Linked DNA regions of Rattus norvegicus. The protein of the gene in region 2 interacts with the protein of the main gene of each other region in a pairwise test. Links are inferred from orthologs where the notes say so. Each region holds a gene or a part of one and is shown on either strand. Other genes may lie near its edges. The genes, in order: Gorab, Rchy1 and Klhl41.

Region 1 (8,211 bases), on a different chromosome or scaffold from region 2:
GAAAAATAACTAAGACATGGACTTTCTCAGAAAATACAAAGCACCTTCCTCTACAATAAAGATTACTGTTGCTTACTGCTCTTATTTACAACATCAAAAATGTCACTGAGGCTGATTGGGTTCCAACTGAAAACATTAACTGAGTAATTAGTAGTTCCTTTGTAACTCAACGGTGTCTTTATATTTTACTTTATATTCTTTACAGAGCATAGATGGAAGGCTTACAATGACATATTTTTCACTAGCAATCAATAAACAAGTCAGGGCATGTGAAAACAGAATACACTGTTTAAGTACTATGTTCTGGAAACTTAGGGCCAATTGAGGATCGTAAATCTAGCACAAGGAGGACTAGCCACAGTAACTTCTAGTCAGCTGCTGTCATTAAAGCAATTTAGGTCAAAACAACCAGACACTGATTTTCACAATTAAAAACAGGCACTTAAAAATTATTTCTATTTTTATTTATTTACTTACTTACTCTATTTATTTTGTGGTGTTGGACTGAACCCAGACCTTGCACATGCCAGGCAAGTGCTCAACCACTTAACTCTGGCTCCAGCAGCAGGTTTATAAGAATGGCTGTGGTTTTAAACATAGGGACCGTAACAACCATCAAAACCTAGATTACACTATAGTGGAAAGTGACTCTTAATCTGCACTGGCATGTTCCAACTAAAAGCCAGGCTGACGATACAGAGGGGAAGAAACATCATGGCACCCTAGGTCCAATTTTCTGAACCAGAAAGCAAAAGACATCAGAGGCCAACAAGCGTGTTATTTTGTAAACATGACTGATGATTATCGTTACTAGTAACACTTTAAAACTGGATCATCAAAAGCAAGGAGGGAAAAACCCTGAAAAGTTAAATACCTTAAAAAGAGATTTTATGAATATTAGTGTTTTGCTTGCATCTATATACAGCATGCACATGCCGTGACCTCAGAGGGCAGAACGGAACATTAGATCCCAAGGAACTGCAGTTTACTTAAGGGCGTGAGCTGCCAAGTAGGTGCTGGGACCTGAACCCACGCCCTCTGGAAGATCAGTGAGACTCGTAACTGCTACGATCAGTTCCTGGGGAATGTTTCTCGTGTGTGTGTGTGTGTGTGTGTGTGTGTGTGTGTGTGTGTGTGTGTCTACATGTCAGTGATCTGTGTGTCTGATAATTATATCCTTCTCTCTGACCCCAGTCATGTTGATCATTTTCTTATGAGTCTACAAATAATTTTAAAAAGTATTAATTTCACCCAAAGTGTACTGCAAGAGCAAGTATTTCTTCCCCAGTGTCACACTTATTGACACTGTCACAGTCACTCATTTCCAGGGCTGAGACACATCCTCAGAGTGACAAGCCCAAGTTCCCCATCTTCTTCCCTGAGAGACACTGAAGCTGGTTTTAGATTTTACCTCTGTGAACCTGGCTGTTAAATTTTGCCTTGGATATTACCCCCAAAGTACTGGGTGACAACATGTAACACTAGATGTTAAACTGCTTTCCAAACACATTTTGTCCAGCAATGTGTAAGAATCCATTTTAATGCATGGTATTGTTTTGTTTAATGTTTTAACTTTGGCAAACAAGAGGGCATAAGGTGGTACCTCACTGTGCTTCTGATTTCTAATGCTCTGCTTCTTGTTGATGGTTGGCATACATTCATATTCCTTTTCTTTGAAACATCTACTATTTCTTTTATATTCACACATACTATAAGAGAAATGATAATTAAAGATACCATGATAATTAATTTCAATGCCAGAAATGGTCATAACTCTACGGAAGAAAAAATCTAACAACAGAAAACATTCAAAATTTATATGGGAAAAAATTCTAAAATTTGTTACACGGCAAATAAATGGACACACATGCACCCTTCCATGATGATACTAAATATCTCCAAACTGATCTAAAGATTCAATGCAATTCTAATCAAATTCCTATCCCCTAAAATTTGGTAAAAATTTTTTTAAAAATTATTATATAAACTGTTAAGAATAGCAAGGAAATTACTAAATAAAACAAAGAGATGAACGGGACTCGTACTATCAAGAATAAAGGCAGTGGGTAAGACGGTTGAGCAGGTACATGCACTTGTCACCAAGCCTGAAGACCTGAGTGCTGACTCCTAGGACTCACAGGGTAGAACGAGGGAAGTGACTCCTAAAAGACAGCCTCTGACTGCCACACCCATGCTATGGCCAAAGGGCTCACACCATAAAATAAATGAGTAGAAAGGAATAATAAAGGGCACATAGAAATAAATATTTATCTTAAAACTGACAGCATACTTGTATTGCATTCTTCCATTTCTTTACATATGAAATCAGCCACAGATCATGTGTGTATACATACATCATACTTATTGGGGTATATGTATGCCATACACTCTTCTAATCTGTGTGAGTGAAAATAATTCAGTTTAAGATGTCGATGACTATAGTTGACATACCCCGTCTCCCTGTGACAACATTTCATTATATAACAAATGTTTCCGTTCCATAAAATGATTTGACTTACTTTTTATCAAAGTTATTTGCCAGAGAAAGCATTTAATTACCAATGTTCTAGTTCCAATCTTCTCTTCTTCCTGCCAAAAATAACTGCCGTGTGACAGCATCAAAAGATGATATGGGATGACTGTGTATCAGTTTCACCTGGCAACCCATGTTACATGACACTAGACTGAAAAATAAACCTTCATTATTTTAAACAACTGGCTATGTTTCCAAGGTTTTCTTTACTGCTTTTATTAAAACTGTTAGCCTAATTTCTTAATTACCAGTGCTGCTGTATGTATTTCTCCCTCCCCATCACACACCCTCGCCTCTCTATCAATCACAATTTTATTTCACTTCTTTGATAGTCTTCAGATAGTCTTAAAGGACGCCTATTTTACCTAATTTTGTTCCTATATAAACTATACTATGCCATTATCTACTCAGCCGCAAACCTGTTCCTTTTAAAAATAAAACTCATTATTAATGAATGTAGCTAATGATTAATACAGTCCCATCAACTGTATTATGTATCCTCTCGCTTGCTAGTAAACAACTGGTTTATTTCTAACTTCTGAATATTATAAACAAAGTGGCTAAGAACATTCTTGACTGCATATGCATTCAAGTGTTTCAAAAGCACCCTGTACTTATTTTTGCTGGCAATGGATCCCATCTTCCTAGATTATTTAACTGTATTCTTAACAGCTGCAAGGAGGACGTGATTTCTGCAGCTTTAGGAATGGGAAGCCCAAGGTAGAAGACTTGGTATTTTTGTGCTGATCACAGTGTTCCGCTAAGGCTACATAAAGGTGGGAAGATACTTCTGTTCTCAGATGTCATATGGGTGATTTTAAACGCAGTCTAGTGTTTCATGACCAAGGGACAGGCCTTGAAGTTTAGGTTCTTATCAACTTCTAACCATATCCAAATTAAAGAAATAGTTAAAATATACTTTTTTTAAGATAACAAACATATGGGAGCCCTACATTAAACCCTGGCAAGTTAAAGACAACATTTAACCTCCATGAAATATTCCCAGAGTTCATTAAATCCTCAGCATGAACTTGCTCTGTGGCTAACACTTGGTCAATATCTACCCCCACAGTATTTCACGGTCTGTCTCATTAATCTACAAGGTCTCTAAAGGCAAAGATGTCCTGCTCATCTTAACACCTCTGATGCAGAAGTTATATTTCATGACAGGTGAGCATCCCTGTTGGCAAGGACGGAAGAAGCCCCTGGACCACACACCTAATTCAAAAGCAGATGCTGAGAACGGAGTCAGATCAGATCTAGATGCCTGTACTTTAGACACAGGTATGTGAATGAAGAATGATTCACAGAACAAAAGAACCTGAAACCACCCAGCTGGACAGAATCAGTTGGGACACATCTGATATGATAATTTCATGAGAGTTTTAAAAGATCCCTAGACCAACCCTATTTCCCCCAAATGTATATAAGGCACAGTGACCTCATGTTAGCGACTTACCTCCTTTTGCACCTGTCAGCCCTAAATAATTCTCATATCTAGGCTAAAAATTACAGTGTACCTGAGCCCTATCCAAATTTCTCACAAACTACAGACATGGAAGAATTTATTTAATTTCATCCTTAAATAAAATATACTTTTTATAACGTTAATAGTGGCAGAAAATTCTCACAGAAGTGATGGGCACTACCAAGATTAGCACAGACATCTTTGTGAAGTTTCAATCACAGGTCAAGAGCGTTTTTACATCGTTTCCTACCAAGTACCAGAAAATTTAATGAATCAGAAGTAGCGTTGTAGCAAGGCCATATATTGATCTATAATTATTCCATAAAGCCCTGGGGAGAGCACTAGATTTTGGCTGTCTCTCAAGGCAGTAAAGACAAACATGTGAGTGCACTGTGCTCGTGCACACAAACACATACACGCACTTCAAATCTTAACCTCTCAAAAACCCTTTTGGTTTGCGATTCCCCAAAACTGGAAAGATGTGCAAATTCATCCGGTAGCCAGAAGTAAACGTAATACAGATGTATCATAAATTACCACCTCTTTCACGCTTATTCACTCTCATGATCCCTTTCGCAATAACTTTTTATAAGTTCGCAATTATGATGCTGTATATATATGCAGTGCTACTCTTCAGTCACCCTGACGCCAAGTCTGCAACCATTGATTTGTGCTACAGTCCTCCCTGACGAGCCATTCTGGTGTTGGCTTCGCTTTCTCTCCCTAGCCTCAATTCTTTAAACAGGGGTATATTAAATCATCAGAAAGCGGATGTTAAAAGAGAAACCCTCGGGGCCTCTGCAGCTAAAACAGCCACCTGGGAGCCCCACGATTCCTGTCCTTCCACTTGCAGCTCCAGCCCCCACGCCCCCTCACCCACTAGGAAGGCCTCCTGTCCTTCAGACTCGAGACTCCACACCCACACGGATATACACCTTACCTTTATTCTGCTTTAGTCTCCTCAGCTCTTCTTCAGAGAAGCCAGCCCAACCCTGAGCCATCCGCCTAGCCCTAGGCACCCAAAGAGTGCCCAAATCCCGGCGCGCAGATTGCCAACACAACTCCACAGGCACATCCGGGTTCCTTCAGTGGATGCGGCGAACAGCCAATCAGAGCGCTGAACTGTGGCGCTAGGACCCTCTCGTCATTCGGGGGCCTGCGCCCCTGGAGCTGTCCGAGCGATGCCTGAAGAACCATCTCGACGGACCGCACCACCACCGCCTTCGTCTCCACTCCTGGGCCTCTGCTACACGTTCCAGTTCTTCCTTTTCCATAAATTTTGGCAAGATGGGGACTATGGGAATGAGAAGAAGGGCTGATGCAAACTGACAGGGAGGCTTTGGCAGAGGAGGCCTAAAGAGGGCGGGTCCTGTCTGACCAGCTGGGCGGAGTCAGTGTTGCCTGGGAGGTGGGCTGTACCGGAGCATCCTTGGCTTGTAGATTCTAAGTCATGGAGAAACATGGAGTAGGGGTGAGGTATAATCAATGGCCAGTTCTCTGCCAGACAGTAGTTATCTAGCAGATTTCATTTTCTTATTTCTTTGATGAATGAGACTCAGTACCTAACCCTTATACCAAGAGATTTTGCTGGTCTCCAATTCACAAATCCTCCTGCCAAGTGCTGGGACTATAGAAAGAAGTGCCGCATCACCACACCACACTCAAGTCCTAAGTGATGACTATTTTTGGTCTAAAGCTGTCTTCTTGAGCTTCCATTTCAACGTTTTAAGTAGAGTTTAGAAAAATTAAAAGCTGCAAAACTTGTCAATGTATGCCTAAGTCAGCGTTTTTTTTAAACCGACTAATCGTTTCTATTTTCATTATTTTTACTAAAACCCAAAAACATTACATTGGCTACATTGAAAATTTAAAAGTGTATTAATTTCCAGCCTAGGAGTCAATGTTTTTAATCAAGTTGAAATAAAACAGCATACCGTAAAATATGACACCAATGATTGGAATGAGCAGTTCAGTTTAGATAAGTATCAGAAAAAGGTTCGACATCTTTCTTATAATCTTTAAACTTTGAAATTCAATGGGTTTTTCCCAAATTCAAGGATGCCACACATGCTTATCTTAAAGATGAGTTTATTCTCACTATATTTAAAAGGTAAAAATAACCATCTAAAAGGATTAGTTTTGTTCAAGTTTTGAACATAGACTAAATATGTAAACAGGTATACGCTGACTACAGGATAAAGTGTAGCAATCTGTCACAATCTGGTAGCCGATTCAGCTTACCCTCTGCACACAATAACCGTTTACTAGTGACCCAACAGCAATCTTAAACCAATGTGTGTGCTCTCTGTTACATTTTATTCATTCATTTTCTATGAGTTTCAAGAATTATCACTAATCTTAATAGAGTCAATAATGATGGCATTTTAAAAGGTTCTGCCTTGCTTATGAATGCAAATCAAGGCACCAGCAAGAGATAATAAAAGCCAATAAAATCCATCTGTATAAAGTTATACTTTCCCATTTGTAACATTCCAAATCTCCTTTTCCTTGTTCTGTTGGCCCTTCCTCAAGGAGCCCACTTTTACAATGCTGTAGGATATACTGGTGGAAACTCAGTTCCAAAAGTCCTTGTTCTGTAGGAGAATTTTGTTCTGAGTTGAGGGAATATCTCTAGAAGAGTTTTGCTGGAAATCTCAGTCATGTTAAGCCAACTATATTTAAAGGGAAAAATTTCCCCATTTGTGTAAAAATCTGGATCCTATACCATATACACCAGGCGTGTTATTGTTTCCCTTACACACAGAAGGCTTCCTTATTTGCCAGAGCAGTAGGCTGTGTTTTTCTAATCTCTATATGTTCAGGCTCTTAACTAGTTTGTTTTCAGTTATCTGTAAGAAACTCAGTCTTGAGTAGCTATATTTTGTAGTATTTTCTTTTTATATTCTTTTAAGTTCCATAATGTACATTTTTGTATTTAAATATATATATATTTGTATATATATATATATATATTTCAGCATGTTTGTGTGTTTATAAAAAGGTATCATATGTGACAATTTGGACTGTAATATTTTTCCCCGGTTGATTCTTCACTAGATGATTGGTGTTTTTTTAAAACCAAAAATCTAGAGCCAGATGTGGTGCTCCATTCCTATAATTCCAGCACTCAAGAGGCTGTGGCATGAGTTTGAATCCAGTCTGGGTTACACCGTGAATTAGAGACCACCCTGGCTGTGATGTGAGACCCAGTGTAAAACAATAAAAATAACTGATATTTTTTTAAAAATAGAATTGTGTGTCTAGTGCATTTATAAAACTGAGCTGCCCGGCCGGCTCAGGCGATTGAGGTACGAGCTGTGGAAACTGGCATCGTGCATTCAATTCCTGGTAACCCACATGAGGGTGAATGAAAGAAGTTCGTACAGAGTGGTGCTCAGATTTCCATCCCCATGGCGTTGTATACACGCCCGCACACATCCTCCCACACAAGGTAACATTCATAACTTGGGAAATAATTTCCGACTTCACTTGGAATAAAATCCCAGATCCTCTATGATCCTACGTCATTGGCCTCCTCCTCCTCCTTCTAGAGTAAGCTGTCTTTCTTCACTGTCCTTAAACTCCAATCGGATGGATTTGCTCGGACCTTTAGAATGCCCAGGGCTTCTCCCTCCTCTCTGCCGGCCTAGCCAGAGCTTTCCCAGTCACCGTTCCTTAAGCTGTTCTCTTCACCTTGTCCATTGATCCTTCCTGCTTAAGTTATGGTCCTCAAGTCCACATAGGCTTTATACGACCACACTATCTAAATACCAGCCTCCTATTTCCTGCACTTTTATGACTTATACAGCACTGAGTGTAATATCTAGGCGGTTTGTATTTTACATTTTTATTTTCTATCCCCCAGTTTGATAAGAGTTCCACGATATAAACTTTAACCTCTTATTTACCCAGCATAAAACAGACTAGCAGCTGCTAAAAACCAATTATGTATTAAAAGAACAAACCTTTCTAAGTTTAATGTTCATTTATAACATTTTCACATTTAATGCACTTGAGATTTCTTTCTAGAATGAATTTCTATGGTGCTGAAAATATGAAATATTTTTTTATTCTTCTTGCAGCTTTGAACTTTTTAGTTAATAAACGCATTTTAACTAGTTGAGGAAAATCAGAAGGGCCTTTATTATTTTTTAAGGTCCGATGTTAGGCACCTTCTTCACTCCAGATAGATAGAATGGAAGAGTAAGGC
Region 2 (8,211 bases):
CATTCTCAGCCTAAACAGAAGATAGGTAACGCCTTCTTAGACATTGTCAGAAAAAGGAAAAAAAAATCATTTATATACCTTAACATTTAAAGACAAAATTTTCACAAATCATGATGCATACATCTAATATTGCAGAGGATGCAGTAAATATAAAAAACAAGAGACACCCACTGTTTGTTTTTTAAATAGAATCTCTCTATATGGCCCTGGCTGTCCTGGAACTATGTAGAACAGCCTGGCCTCAAGATCAGATTGTCCCTGCCTCCCAAGTGTTAGGACTAAAGCCAGGCATCAACACACCCCGTCTCACGGGTTTGGAGAATGTTGATAACTGCCAGTTGTCCACTGAAATCTGCTCCTTACTTCCTGAGCACATTACCCAGTTAATCTACAGTTGGATCCCACACATGATCATATGCCTTAAAATACATCAAAATAATACAACAGGAAAAAAAAAACTTGACTCTAAAATAACCACATGGAACAGAGGCTCTATACCCGTCTGGAATTGTTATAAGGAAAGAAATATACAGAAATGTATTCTTTATTATTTAAACATCATTACTGCTAGGTCACTTCATGAGTATTTAATTTTTTTACACTGCTATATCAAGAAATGCCCAGGCTTGGGATGTAGCTTAGTGGAAGTTATTTGCCTAGCACCTGCAAAGTGCTAATTTCATTACCTAATCTCAGCATCTAAAATTTTCCAGGGGGAAAAATCATTTATATGCCTTAACATCTTTACTGTCTGGTTTTGTGTGTCAACATGATACAAGCTGCAGTTATCACAGAGAAAGGAGCCTCCCTTGAGGAAATGCCTCCATGAGATCCAGCTGTAAGGCATTTTCCCAATAAGTGATCAAGGGTGGGAGGGCCCCTTGTGGGTGGTGCCATCCCTGGGCTGGTAGTCTTGGGTTCTATAAGAAAGCAATTTGAGCAAGCCAATAAGCAGCATTCCTCTATGGTCTCTGCATCAGCTCCTGCCTCCAGGTTCCTGCCCTGGGTGAGTTCCTGTCCTGACTGACTTTGGTGATGAACAGCAATGTGGAATTAAGTATAAGCTGAATAAACCCTCTCTTCCGTAACTTGCTTCTCGATCATGATGTTTTGTGCATGAATATAAACCCTGATTAAGACAATATCTAAGGCTGGAGAGATGGCTCAGTGGTTAAGAGCACTGGCTACTCTTCCAGAGGTCCTGAGTTCAATTCCCAGCAACCACATGATGACTCACAACCATCTGTAATGCGATCTGATGCCCTCTTCTCGTGCGTCTGAAGGCAGCAACAATGTACTCACAGATATAAAATAAATAAATCTTTAAAAGGAAAAAAGACAACATCTAGGGGTTGGGGATTTAGCTCAGTGGTAGAGCGCTTGCCTAACAAGCGCAAGGCCCTGGGTTCGATCTCCAGCTCCGGAAAAAAAAAAAAAAAGACAACATCTAAACACAAAATGTTTTAACTTCACTAATATTTACTAATCATGATGCATATAACTAATATTGCATAGGATGCAATAAATATAAATTTGGGGGGGGGGGTAACCAAACTTAAGACATTCTCAGAGAAATAAAAAAAAGCTGGACCGGCTGGTTTTGTGTATCAAGTTGACACAGCTACAGTCATTAGAGAGGAAGGTGCCTCAGTTGAGGAAATGCCTCCATGAGATCCAGCTGTAAGGTGTTCTGTAAGTGATCGATGGGGGAGGGCCACATGGGCATTGTGGGTGCCGTCCCTGGGCTGGTGGTCCTGGATTCTATGAGAAAGCAAGCTGAGGAAGCCAAGGGAAAGAAGCCAGTGTGCAGCAGCCCTCCACGGCCTCTGCTTTAGCTCTGGCCTTCAGGTTCCAGCCCTGCTTGAGTTTCTGTCCTAGCTTCCACCAATGATGGACGTATATGGAAGAATACATCAAATACGCTTGCTTTTGGTCATGGTGTTTAGTCTCAGCAATAGAAACCCCAACTAAGACATTAAATTAAAAAAAAATCCCTAGGCCAGTGGGGTTCCTGTGCTATAAATGAACCATAGCATAGTTCATCCTTTATGCTGAAACGTTATTGGCTTCTTGTTCCCCCAACATACTCTAACCAAAATATGAAAACATCCACAAGGATCCCTTCAATACCTAAATGTTCTCACTTTAAATGGCTTTGTATCCCAACCCTCCTCTGACACAGTCATAGACTTAGACCACAGCAGTTAAAACTCAGGGCCTTGTTATACTCTAAAGCTCTTAAGGATAGCAAAGAGCTTTTGACAGTGCACTACAGCTACAAGGTCTCATTTCAAGGTTACTAATGGTTCAAAGCTCTGTTAATTATTTCTCTGTCACAAGTCTGACTCCTTCCCTCATTCTGAGAAAATGTCGCCATATACTTAAGCTTGAATGACCAATCTTTTTCAAGTCAAAAAATGTTCCATGAACAAAGCAATTAACTTACTTCACAAGCCAACTAACTAAGAACTTTTCCTCGAGAAAACCAAAGTGCTTGCTGAAAGATTTCTATTTGTCAGATAAGTTATTAAAAATGTTTATGAGTATGAGCTAAGATTTAATAAATGATTTTAGTGCAAGAAAGGAAAGAAGGAAGGGCAGACGGAAGGAAGGAGATAAAAGACTTAGCAAGCTATGGAGTGCAAGTCAGTAGTAAGCAGCATTCCAGCATGGCCTCAGCTTCAGTTCCTACCTCCAGGTACCTGCCCTTCAGGATATCCTGCCTTGGTTTTCCCTAATAAACTGTCACAGGAAGGGCAAACAATAAACCCTTTGCTCCCCATGTAATTTTTGGTTCTGGTGTTTATTGCAGCAATAGAGAAGCAAACTCCTACGCTCTGCCTTGCCAGCCAAGATCAGCCTCACTTGTACGCTGGGTCTTCCCACTGTGACTACTCACTGGTTCTCTTTCCTGCTGCATTACAAAATGACCAGTGTGCAGAAACACTGTGACACAGCTGTCAGCAAAACAGCCACATTTTTGCTCTCCTTGGCAATAAAAGTCCAAAACTGCTCTATGCTATTTCCAGTATCCCCTCCAAGGAAGCTTTATCCTGGGTCTTTCACTGACACATGTTAAGATCAACAGTGACCTCCCCTTGCCAAATCAAAAGCCAATTGTCACTCCTTCTCTTACGTGAACAGCTAAACTTGATCTAGTACATGACTTGCTCCTTAAAACACCTCAGCTGGCCTCTCCTATTTAAGCAAAAGGGAGAGGGGAAAGAAAAACAATGCTTGACACTCAGAGAAAAATATTTTAAGTGCTGTGAAACACAAATTTGGTTGTGCAATTTCTTTGCAGGGGTAGGAGGGGAAAAGCAGATGTTAAATTCAGTTTTAAACCTTTGAAACCTTAAAAATATTTCAGTAGGAATGTAACCAAAAGAATAATATTTAACTCCTTATACATTAGACAACTGACCAGTTTGAAAAAACTTCATCCAATGCAATGAATCTCACCAAGCCGTGGCCTGCAGAAAAAGGTTTAAGCTGTCTTACAGATCTAAGCCTATCACTTAATCCTAACTTTTAAGCTCAGTGACCAGCAGGGCTGACTGTTAGGGTTAAAAAAGAAAATGTTGATGACCACTGTGAGTAACAGTTAATTTCCTACTGGTCATTTCTGGGGTCACACCTCCTCAACACTCTAGTCTGCAATCATCGCACTGTTTATAAAGAAAGACGTTCACCTTTGGCACAGAAGACTGGATCTGGCGGCTCATTCCGGTGAGCCCAGTACTCTAGCAATGACCCATATACACCCCCAGCCCCAGCTCCATTTTTTTCTCATTGGCAATAGCACCTCCAGGCTGGTATTCCTTCTGCCTCAGCTTCAAAAATAGCTGGACGTGTGCGTCTTCTGGAAGTACAGGCCTTTACCACTAAGACTTCCTTCTAAAATTGTGTGTTTTATAAACAAGCCCTTTAAAATGTAACTTGCTCAAAATTACAGAGCAAGTTAAGGACATATCTAAAGTATGAGGGGAAAGCTGTAAGATTCCAACAGTCAAAGTTTCTTCTCAATGGGAGGAAACTTCTAGAGACTGAAGCCAAGCCTTCGGCATTTTAAACTCGAGTCTAAGGCTGAGTTATAACCTCAGCTCAAATCTCAGACTTTCTCAACACAAAATATTAACACTATTTCTTTTAAAAAAAAAAAAAATCAGATAAGTCTTAACTGTGTGAGGGTCATTTTTAAAAACTCTAGATGACTAGAACGTCTCAAGCCAAGAAAGATGATAGCATATATGCACTAGGCACTTCTCCGATACCCAACTTAATGGCAATTACACAACTCTCATTTCACACATATATTTTTTTCTGGACAGGTCTAGGCATATTCCTAGACAGCAAAATGAAGCTGACAAGCTATACTATAAACTTACTATACATCCTGAAATTATATTCTGATTTTCCCCTTGCTGCATCATACACACTTGACAGAACTGCTTAGGACAGGCCTTTCACGTCCTCATTCTACTGTCAACCGCAAGTGAGGAGTAAACCCACCAGGGAAGTGACTTTACGCAAGGGCCAGATCTTTACAAACAAGAACTTTGCTTGCAAAGTACAAAAGCTGAGATCGAGTACAGAACTCATGCACGCCTTGCCAAAAAACGTTTCCTGCAAGGGGAACCCAATTCCAGATGGAAGGTGTCCTGACAAGCAGAGCAGTCTAAAATTTATGCCCACGACTAAGTTCCTAGCCCAACCTGCCCGGGCCGCAGCTCATCAGTAAGTGCCCTTTAAAGTCATCACCTTGAGGAGACAGGCTCTGTCATAGTGCTCGCAACCCCGCGGCCCTGGAGCCGGGCTGCGGACGCCATCTTCCTGCGCCGTCGCCGCCATCTCCTCCTCCTCCTCCTCCTCCTCCACCTCCCTCCACACAATCCACAGAACCTTCCCCCAGCTTGGAAGCCACGCCTTAAAGAAGCAGAGCCGGTCTGATACCCCTCCTCCTCGGAGCAGAGGCCACTACAGTCAATATGGCGGATGATCACGTGATCTGGAGCAGCCGGATGTCCGGTTCCTGGAGGAAGGGGCGAAAGCCAAGTGAGACGCTTATTCCGTCGTCGACGTTAGTCGCTGTCGTCGCTGCTAACGGTAATAACTCTTAGGTTGGCTCTTCTTCCCCCCCCCCATTGCTGCCAGCCCAGATTGCGGGGCGAAGGGGACCACTGCGACGCCGGGCGGGCGCTGCTGTAGGCCGCCCTGGGCCGCCAGCGCCTGTGAGGAGCGGCCCTCCCTCTGCTCGGCCCGCGGCCGCCTCCAAAAGGGGCGGAGCTCGGCGGCGGCGCGCGCAGCTCCTAGAGCCCGCGGTTGGTCGGTTCTACTTTCCCTCCGCCTCCTTTAAAAGAGGTACCTGTCACCATCCAAGATATGGGAATGAAAAGTGAAAAAAAGCAGGCACACAGATGGGTAGGGGGAGAACACCACTGCATTAAATGAGATCACAACTTGGAGCGACACTGGAAGGACAATCGTGTGCGGTGTCCCCGGGGAAGGGGACGCTCAGGCTGAAAGTTTAGTGGCAAACAGTACATCAGCAGGCGTTAGTGGGCACAGACCTGTGGGAGAGAAAATCTGACCCCGTAAGAACATGAGAAAAATAAGCCCACAAAGTTGGAATCTCAGACCTCAAGGTGCATAACTAGATGTCAGCTCTTACAAAATACCAAGACTTTTATAAAAATACCAAGAACATTTTATCAGCAAAACCAGACGTTGGGATGGGGGCGAGGGGAGGCGATTGTCTAGGAGGAGATGCCTTTGGCTTAGCCCTAAAGTTACTAACGCATTTTAATTCTCTTACAGTTTTGTTATGTTGCTAAAATCATGGTGAAATGTTGCTCGGCCATTGGATGTGCTTCTCGCTGTTTGCCAAATTCCAAGTTAAAAGGACTGACATTTCATGTGTAAGACTTGCTGTACTCAGCAGAATACTTTTAACTTTTACTAAAAATTACTCTACCCGAGTCTGCAGTTACAAGTTTTTGTTCCCAAGTTCCTTTAAAATAACCTCGTTAAAATTGACAGTGGTTCCTTTGTAATGTGCAAGTTTTAAGTGCCAAGGAATGAAAGACGAGATAACACCACCACCAAAAATCAAATACCACCACGCACAAATTGTCAGAGTCACCTTTGCTAATGTTTGTATTCTAACTCTATTAAGTTCACTATTGTTTATATGTATTTACAATCTAAATGATGGTTCTTTGTTTAAATATCCATACCTTCTATTTAGAAATAGATGAGGCAAAGCTGTTCACTATATACTACAAATTCAGACCAAGGATTATTTAACTGCATTGCGGATAGAGTTTGAGAATTCTAATTTAGCGTTAGACCATTCCTGTGATATCCATAGGAAGGATCTAATAGGGTTTAATAAATATACTTAGGATTTTTGTGAAGCTGAAAAGGGAAAGATCTAGTTACTTTAACTAGGCATGGAAATAAAAGGTGTGTATGTGCTACTGTATCCCAAAACAATATTGAACCAGCTTGGAAAGTTTGAGAAATCTGATTACTGCCTCCCATCTGTCAGAATAGTAGCTCCAGAACTCTAGACTCTGGAGCTGTTCTCTGCATGCGTTCACAAAGCATTTATAGACCTGCTATACATGAGTTGCTGTACAAGTAATTTTCAGGTTTGACAGAGAAGCAAAAGCACAAGAGGCCCTCCTAGTCATTGAGGACAAATTCTGGATATCACCTCAGAAAGGGAAAGGCCAGAGGTCTTCTGTAGATAAAGAAAAACCTTTTATTGCAAATCTTGATAAAATATGCTAAATGGCCATTGAAACATTCATAAGATATGATAAAAATTTAAAGGCCATGTGTATAAAGAATGGTTGGCAGAAAAGTCTGGATATTGAAACTGAGCTATAAGGCCAACAGAATGTCTTAGCTGGTAAAGGCAGTTGTCACAAAGACTAATGACCTAAGTTCAGTAACTAGGAATCACATGATGGAAGGAGAGTGAATTCCCACAAACTGCCCTTAATCTATACTACCTATGCTGCGGAATGCTTATGTGCATGTCTACACGCACATATACACAAATGCACATACACACGCGCGCACAGATACATAGACATGTAACTTTTTAAATTTGTTATATAACCAGGAATCATGATTTCTGAAATATTCAGTTTGAAGATATCAATAGTATTTGGATTTAAAATATATTTTTACTGTTTTTTAGATTCCCCACAGATGAAAACATCAAAAGAAAATGGGTGTTAGCCATGAAAAGACTAGATGTGAATACTGCAGGCATTTGGGAGCCCAAAAAAGGAGATGTGCTGTGCTCGAGGCACTTCAAGAAGACAGACTTTGACAGAAGCACTCCAAACACTAAGCTGAAACCAGGAGCCATCCCTTCTGTCTTTGAGTCTCCCTGTCACTTACAGGTTTGTTATGAGCTGTGGGCACTCACTCGGTGACAATTCTGAAGCCCTTTCAGTACCTGTGTTGGATGAGTGTGCTGCTTTCTTCATTTGAAGTGTATTCTGTGAGTTTTCATAGACTGCAGCTTCAGCTTTCACGATTCATAGGCCAATAGCTTCTCATAAATATACGTTACCAGGGTCTAGATAAGTAGACTGATGTAGAAAAATGTTTTAATTCAGAACTAGTGTCTTAAAAACAGAGAAGATTAAGGTAGTCTCAGATTGGAAGTCATTAAGAACGCAAGAGCTCTGTGGTGTGCAAGACTTTAATCCCAGCACTCCAAAGGCATAGACAGGCAGATCCCTGAGTTCAGGGCCAGCCTGGTCTACAGATTGAGCTCCAGCGTAGCCAGTTACACAGAGAAACCCTGTCTCAAAACAAAACAAACTCAAGAGCAAACTGCAAATAGAACCGAAATATGGTTCCAAGTAAAGCCACACCAAAGGAGAGAGAGAAACGGATGAGAACAGGAAAAGAATGAAAGAGAGATGAGGTTAGAAAGAGAAAACAGAAAGGTTGAGTAGCAGACCTAGTTGGCTTCTGCTGTTTATCAGCGATAATGCTGGGAGTCACCCACTTTGCCTTTGATGGCTCTGTCTCTCGTGGCTTAATACATCTGAGAATGCATTTTCTTCAGTAACTGTGGAGCACTATTACTTCTTGTAAATTACTTATCCGGGTCCTCTCCTGTCCTCTTTTTCTCAGCTGGTAGGGAGTGGCCTCTCTGATTCATTCCTCTTGTCATTGTTAAGG
Region 3 (8,111 bases), on a different chromosome or scaffold from region 2:
ACTGGTTCAAAGAGTTAGACAGACGACAACTTACTTCCATATGTCATTGACTTCAGTGGGCGCGAACTCTTTAGATTCCAACTGAATCATCGCAAAGCCGCCGATGGCGTACAGGGATCCGGCCAGGCTCACCAGGCTGATGGAGCTTCTTTCTTGGGGAAATTCCGTCATCACTTCCCACCTAGGCATTTTATTGAAAATGCAGTCCACATAAAATGTACAGAAATACACCATTTTGGTGTAATTTTGTTATTTTTAAAGTGTGTGTGTGTGTATAAAGCTAGAAACACAGAGGGTTTATAGTTTTGTGTCCAGGTTTACACTTCTTTGTTTTAGACAGGGTTCCACTACATGGCTCTGGCTGGCCTGGAACTCAGAGTCAAAGGTGTGCCCCGCCCACTGAGTGCATCAGATTTAAGCTTCTTTTGCATTGGAGAATTTACCCTTACTGTCCAGTCTTTAAGAACATCATTTTTAATAATCATTTAAAACTAGTTTCATAAAAATGCCTTGTAATTTCCGGCTATCAACATTATTTTGTAATCATATACATTTGGTTTCTTTAAAAAAAGTAACACTATTCTAATTTTTCATTGCTAAGGCAATGAACATGCTATTGTATATATGCTATGTGTAAAATGTATAAAATACAATATATGTGTGATTGTATAAACATATGTACTCACCTAGGTGTATAAGCTCAAAAATTTAGGAAGATTAATTTTATATAAAATATTAGTCAAGTATCTTCACATAAATCCAATAAAAACAGAAGTTAAAAAAAAGTAAGAAACATGTAAAGCACTCATCGTGTATGAGTGCCAGCTGCCAACAAGTGGAAATCTTTTCATTATTTTTGTTTGATTTTGTTTATTGAGGCAGTATTTCTCTGTGTGGACCAGGCTGGCCTCGAACTCAGAGATCCACCTGCCTCTGCCTCTCAAGTGCTGGGAGTAAAGGTCTGCGCCACCACGCCTGGCCCTTTAATTTGTAAACTACCGGTTCCTCAGACATGCATATCCACCTAAGGTTGTACAGTGTTTCAGAGGTAATCATGCCTTTGCTACATGACTGGATGGATTCAGTTAGCGCAGAGGCAGGCAAGCGATGTGTCAGCACTAACTCATGAGCCGCATTTTCCTAATGAGGAGGCATGGGGAGTGGGAAATCCTTCCCCTTTAACCCAAGGTTCTCTGGCTTCCCCTCCCGAGGCTGAGAAAGTGTAGCTGCTACCCAGATGCAAAACTAACGTACAGGATTCTTATGCTGCAGCAGAGCAACTCACTTATTGGTTTTGAGGTCGAAGGCTTCAACTGAAGCTGAAAGGCCATCTTCAGTGACGCCTCCTGCGATCACGATTTTGCCTTTGTGGATTGCCACTCCAAACATGGAACGAGGGGTTTTCATTGGAGCCAGATCCTTCCAGTCTCCTTTCTTGGGGTTGTAGATAAACACCCTATTCGTACACTTTCTGTGAACATAAAAAGAAAATAAATGCTCCCTTTAGAACCTTCTTTTTGTGAAAGCTGCTTTAATAATTTAGTTCTGTTTGTGATGGAGTATATAGTACTTTATTTAAAGTAACCTGGCACTGTTTGAGGGATGCAGCTTAGTGGCAGAGTACTAACAGAGCATGTGTGAGCCTCTGGGTTCAAACCCAAAAAATTTTTTTCCCCAGTGAGTCCAGTCTTATCTATAGATCCTATATTAAAAACCCATTGTGACTGTAGATTACATAAGTAATCATGTAGACTGACTAATGATGAAAACACTTTTACATGCTAAATGCCACCAGAAACATGTAGATTCATTGAATTATTCTCAGGATAGACCTTGGGAGTCTCAAAGTTTTCCATAACCGATCAATAGTCCTAAATCCCAATAGTAACCAGTTTGGTAATGCCAATAAACAAAAACTCTTTTGTGAGAGTAGTTTTTTCTTAATATGAGAAAGACCATGCATAAACATTTCCTTTACAACTTGTCTATGGCAAGGAAGGTCTTGGTGAGGTCAGAACAGAAAATCATATTCAGTAGGGCACTTTATGTCCCCTTTGCCCTTCCCCACGTATTTGGGATTGGATGCAAGGCCTTCCATATTCTACAAAGTGCGACTGAGTCATCCCTCAGCCTCAGCGCTCTACTTTTCACAATGATTTATTTCAAAGTTCTTGGACATTTGCTAGGCAATGCTCTCTGGGTACTAAGAGTCTCAGGATTAATATATTACTTCTGGCAGACGTGAGTGCTTCTTATTGACGGATTGGTTTTCTGGTTACTAATGTTATCTGAAGGGAACAATGTAAACCATTTTGGCAGAGTTCCAATGTTTCAAAGTCATAATGCACTTAATAGGGATTCTCTGTTCCACATACTCAGAGGAAATGTCCAAATTAGGGGTGCATTTACCACATCTACCCTTAATTAGTGTTCATTTGATGGAGAAAGCAAAGATTACGGAAGGGATTTCATTTCTGGATATCCATCTTTTCATATGGAGAGAGATGATAAAAAACTCAGCGCTTGTTCAGTTATATTTTGTTTTATCATTCTAATTGAATAAAATTAATTCACTCCAGAATAGAGCTCTTTACTCGACACAGAAGGTTTTATTTGATTTTCTTTCTGCTGCACCTGTGATCTTTTTGGTTTTGTGGTTTGTTTTCGGATAGGGTGTTCCTGTGTCGTCTTGGTAGTCTGGAAATCCCAGGACCAGCTGATTCTCTGGCCTCAGCCTGGGACTGTGGGTCCATGCTACTGTGCCCAACTGACCCTTACAAGTCATAATTTCCTTTCCTTTCCATGGTTGGACAGCTCTATTCACAGTTAGCCTGCACAAATGATAAACCAAATAAGGCACCTTTCTCTAGGATGGGAGACTTCACACTGTAAATGAAAGGTGATCATTTGACTAGATGGGATGCTGGCTTAACTGAGCGCAGGAGCACTGTCTGAGATGTTAGATCTCTGTCCTAACTACAGATGGCTTAGACCGGTGGATCTCAGTTTTCCTAACGTTGTGACCCTTTAATACAGTTCCTCATGTTGTGGTGAACACCCAACCAAAAGTTATTTTTGTTACTAATTCATAACTGTAATTTTACTTCTGTTATGAATTGTGATGAAATGTCTGTTTTCCAACAGTCTTAGGCAATCCCTGTGAAAGAGTTGATTGTGGTGACCCACAGATTGAGAACTGATGGCCTAGAAGCCAAGATGGGGTCCTACATGAGATGTACCCTGGTTTTCTCTCAAGGGACTAGCTAGAAGTAGTGAAATGGAGACTTGAGAGTGAGTGAGCCACAAACATGTCGCTGGAGAAATGACTGCACTCCTCCAGTTACTGTGCTTTTAATCTCCAACCAATACAACTCCCCTCTTATACACGTCAAGTACAAATCATATCATTTTCTGCGTACTGTTTTGCTAATGGATATACTTTGAGTACAACAGAAATTTCTATCCCCTTCAGCCTGGTGACCTGAGTTCCATCCCTAGATCCCTCATGGTGGAAGGAGCTCCTTGGTGTTGTCTTCTGACATCTGAGTGTGCTTCCCCACGTGCACCCCATACACATTAGATAATAACAAAGTGAAGATTTAAATGTTAATCTGCTTATGGTTCATTGAGTCAGAAAGCCTACTGGTCTGTGTTGTAAAAGGCAGTTGGATAGAAGGCTGACCGTGCTCCTAGATGCTGCTCTTCCACGATCAGGATGCGTATCACTGAGGGACTGTGCTCGTGTGGAAGCGGCCTACATTCCTCCCTCTTTGGTCTAGTGACTTTAAAACCTTATAATTACAATTTCCTCCCAAAACTTTTCAGAATTTTATTTGCATTTTTTATCTGCAAAATATGGTGTTAGAGACCCAAGTCCCATTTCAGCATATAGTGTAAAAAATAAATAAATAAATAAAAAGGAAGAAACCTTAGCCATACTCAGATGTCAATCCAAAGGAAACCTTGGGGCACTTACTTGTCATCTGTCTTTCCGCCCAGACAGTATATCATCCCATTATGTGAGATCACATTATGGCCATAAACTTTAATAGGAAGATTTTTCACTTCGCTCCACTTTGCAGCCCTAGAATGAAATGATAATAGAATTCATGTTCCAGCTGGTGAAAACATGGATTTGTCGTAGGCTTATGGAGCGGGAACGTTGTGGGACTGTCACGTCAACTTACACAGGATCATAGCATAACACGGAATCCAGGGAGGCCTCTGTCTGAAGGTCTTTGCCGGCGACCACATAGATTTTGTCATCTACCTCTCCCAGACCAAAGAGGCACCTGGCTGACGGGAGAGGCGGTAGTCCAACCCACTCAGATGATACGTTATCAAGCTGGAAAAGAAATGAGTTATGGAAATACATAGAAAGATATTACCAGGCGTAACTAAGAAGTTCTCAGTGTTTCATGTTTAAAATCTCCAGAGATGAATGAAGGTCTCTACACAACTATAGTCCTAAAGTATTATATTTTAGCTTAGAATAATCTTAAAGTGTCATACTTAGAGTTTGGCTCAGAGCTACTAAAGAGAATGAGAAAATCTACTTGGCCTATAAAAATAAAATACTTGAACAAAAACAAAAACAAAAACAACCCCCCCCCCCAAAAAAAACGATATCAAGAGAGAAGAGAGACTAAAATGGAATTGTTAGAACTGGGCAGTTTCTTGTCAAATCCTTCCCTGGAGGTGCCTCAGTCAGTTTTGAAACAAAGAATCTTAATACTTTGGGGACACTGGGGAAGAGACAGGGTGTCTATGGCAGGGGTCACAGTATGCGAATGACCCCTGCGTGCTATATTTAACACATTCCCAGAGCCAGCACCCGGGACAGCTGGGCTTGTCGCTCAGTCCACAGACCACTGAGAGGGAGGGCAGTATCTCTTTTCCATCTTTTAAACATGTCTAGGTTACCTGTGTTCTATTGTTTTGGGCACAGAAGAATACTCATTTCAATACCTGTGTTTTGGGTGACGTCATCTTAAATATCGTCTTTCTGGTTTATGCTGAGAAGCAGTCTGGCTTGCAGCCAGCTCTACGGTGGACCTGTCAGTATCGCGCTCTGACTAGGGATTCATCCTGGCACCTAGTTTCTAAAATGGTAACGTACTCTTTTTCGCATTTTAGGGTAGCACTGCCGAGGAAACTGAGAGGCGTAGCTGCGCCGTTGCATGCCATTTCCAGGTGAGGAGGAATGCATTCACCTCAAAACCGATACAGCCTGGAACAGGAGAGACTGGTAGTGATGTGGAGGGGCTTCTCTGGAAGCCAATTCCATGTCTGGTCTAGTAGGGCCAGTTAAAGTTCTGAGACCAAAAGACACAGCATGACACACGGTTAATCCCCTTGTGCTCAGGGTTAGCTGCAGACACTTTGATTCAGCATCCAGATTGTGACTGTAATGTTTTCACTCTTGGAAAGGAATCTGCGGTCAAGAAAGTGTCACGGGGCTGAGAGATGTAGTCCAGTGGGGCTGAGATTACATGTCCAAACCCCTGGGTTTGATTCCTAGCACGTCTGTGGAGTCGGGGGAGTACTAGGTAATAACGTAGAACTAACAATAAACCTTTATGGAAGTCTGACAAGTTCTGTGCAAAATACTCAAACAAGTCCTCTCAGTTGGCTGACGGGTGGGTACACTTGCCCGACTTCACGGGGCTTTTTAGGTGGTTTTCAATACCATGCCATCTAATAAGTCTATAGGCGTTTTATTGCTTGAGATGCCATTATGCAGCTTTGGCACTTTTATTTTTAATGGATCAACAGCTATCTTAATCCCAAACCTGAGGGCCCAGGTCCCATCCAGACTGTGTGGTACCCACCTTCCTATCTTATCTTTGGACCATTTTCTATACCAGATGACAGTAGGTGGCCAGCCAGTGCCTTCAGTGGATGAGTTCTCAAGCTATTAAACCCTTCAAGATCCCACTGTTAAAATTAGGGTTTATATGTAGAACACTCAAAGTGTGGGCTTCCTGCGGTCTAAAACTTGAATCTATGAGTTCCACGGAGGAGGGGAAATCAGTCTTGATAAGGTCCCCGAATCCCCACAGTCATATGCCAAATGCCAGTTCACTCTGTAATCCACATCACACCTGCAGCCAAGCAGAACACTACAAAGGCTGCAATTCTCACAGGAAGCTCCCTTTTATTTCAATTCAGGCATCTTGATCTACACCTGTGCCTTTTAGAAGCGGCAGGGGAAATGCCCTTCCCCTGTGTAACTGTTTCCGTGGCTCCTGCTTCGTCAGGTAATCTAACTTGCAAATCCAGACACAGTAAAGTTAAAGGGAAACAACAGGATGGAGAAAGCAAAAGTTAAAACGAGGCCTTGAAAATAGAGTGTGGGCCGTGGGTATATTTTTAAAGTGTGTGTTTGTGTGTGTGTGTGTGTGTGTGTGTGTGTGTGTGTGTGTGCACGCACACACGCATGTGTGTGTTGAGAATAATTCGATGCTGTAACTGTTTCTTGGGTCTATGACTATATTATCTGTCTGACCTGTCTGTCTGTCTGTGCCTGTCTACCTATCCATTTGATTTGCTATTTTTCACTTCTCAGATATACTTAAAATCTCTTTCATTGGATTTGCCCTTTCTAAAGTAAATCTGAATTTGAAAATAGAGCTTGGGGGAAATCTCTGGGTCACATTCAAATACTTTTGCTAGTGTCTTTCACTGGAACTTAGAAAATTAAGAAACATGATTAGTATCTATTATTTTGACTATATTTCTCTAGCTACTTGGTGACAGGTAGTATTTTGTGAATGCATGGTATGTTGTGTATTTTGAAAGCATGTGGTGACTGTGGTATGACATTCTACACTTGTCTATCTCTGGCCTTTCCAACTTAAGTACCTGAAAATCCCAGGCCACGATTAGCTATGACCTAAACAAATTCTTACTGATTGAACCATGAGCCCCAAAGTATTGATTGGCAATACTGAAGGTGTGGGTTAAGTTAATCAGTGACATTTGGGAATGCTTTTTTTTTTATATGATCCAAAGTGTACAGAATATATACAAGGGTCCTTTCTTTTCCAATAAAACCTTTTATACAGTAACAAGAAATAAGAAATGAAATGTTCCTTCCCCAGATTAGGAGAAAATCAGACTAAGTCCCACTCCCTTGCAGTGTGTAAGGCATCGTGGTATAGACCAATAACTTTTTTTTTCTTTTTTCTTTTTTTCGGAGCTGGGAACTGAACCCAGGGCCTTGCGCTTGCTAGGCAAGCGCTCTACCACTGAGCTAAATCCCCAACCCTAGACCAATAACTTTAAGGAAAATATTCTAACCTATTTATCAGGTAATAGTGTTAAAGATTATAAGGTCAGTCTTTACCGAAACCCTGAGCTTTGAAGAACTGTAACTACCACCAGCTTCCTATATATACTATAAGGGAGAAAGGGTAAGAAGGAAATTGTGAGTCATGAGTTAGGTATAAAGACTTCCTTCGCCATGCCTTTTTATTAAATATGAAGTCTAGTTATGATACTCTGCTAAGCATCACAGTGTAAGAGAGCACACTGGGATATCCGTGTGAATGGTATGTAAGCACCCTGCCCCCAGACAATTCACAAATTGGCTAAGGGTGGTGAACCCCAGCCTGTGCGTTCTTACCTGGAAAAAGTAGGATTGCAGGGGTTGATCTTTATTCTCTTCGTCCACGTACAGTCCTCCGACCACGTAGACCTGGTTCTGTTGGGTAACAATACTGGAATGATTTCTGGGGATCTGCTCAGCTAGGGCAGTAAGATAACACTCATTTTCCATGGGGTCATACGCCACTGCAGCTGTGTCATTGACCAAGAGGATGAGATCTTTGACGAACATTCCATGCCTGGGGATATCATTCAGGTAACCAGGAAGTAAGTCTTCATCACCAACATCACCGTTCACCTCGCCCGTCCCCCCTTTCTCTGCGCTTTTGCTGGGTTCCGGAAGTTTGCCTGCAAAAGCGTCCTTTAGAACTTTGATTTTTTTCTGGACTTCTGGGTTGCTTTTAATTATGTCATCCTTCTCGACATGATCTTTGAAATATTTCTCAGCCATAAGGCGAAAACGAATACAGTCAAATACTTCACTAAGATTTTTCGCCCTGTTT

What was found.
Region 1: the proteins of Rchy1 (region 2) and Gorab interact in a two-hybrid assay, tested with the Homo sapiens proteins (3 studies listed by BioGRID and IntAct). The link is inferred for Rattus norvegicus from reciprocal best matches to the Homo sapiens genes RCHY1 and GORAB.
Region 3: the proteins of Rchy1 (region 2) and Klhl41 interact in binary tests that used the Homo sapiens proteins (3 or more experiments, as listed by UniProt). The two-hybrid records come from large-scale screens. The link is inferred for Rattus norvegicus from reciprocal best matches to the Homo sapiens genes RCHY1 and KLHL41.

The regions. Positions count from the first base shown.
Region 1 is NC_086031.1:78,290,410-78,298,620, forward strand, and holds the start of Gorab (RAB6-interacting golgin), read right to left. Parts: upstream 5,080-8,211; 5' UTR 5,003-5,079; coding exon 4,942-5,002; intron 2,685-4,941; exon of another isoform or gene 1,604-2,684; intron 1-1,603.
Region 2 is NC_086032.1:16,394,565-16,402,775, reverse strand, and holds the start of Rchy1 (RING finger and CHY zinc finger domain-containing protein 1), read right to left. Parts: upstream 5,244-8,211; 5' UTR 4,852-5,243; coding exon 4,762-4,851; intron 1-4,761. Other genes in the region: Thap6 (THAP domain-containing protein 6), read left to right, coding at 5,839-5,918, 7,211-7,418. UniProt on the Homo sapiens protein: E3 ubiquitin-protein ligase that mediates ubiquitination of target proteins, including p53/TP53, TP73, HDAC1 and CDKN1B. Mediates ubiquitination and degradation of p53/TP53; preferentially acts on tetrameric p53/TP53.
Region 3 is NC_086021.1:74,842,744-74,850,854, reverse strand, and holds part of Klhl41 (kelch-like protein 41), read right to left. Parts: coding exon 7,628-8,111; intron 4,346-7,627; coding exon 4,188-4,345; intron 4,085-4,187; coding exon 3,977-4,084; intron 1,472-3,976; coding exon 1,286-1,471; intron 182-1,285; coding exon 35-181; intron 1-34. UniProt on the Homo sapiens protein: Involved in skeletal muscle development and differentiation. Regulates proliferation and differentiation of myoblasts and plays a role in myofibril assembly by promoting lateral fusion of adjacent thin fibrils into mature, wide myofibrils.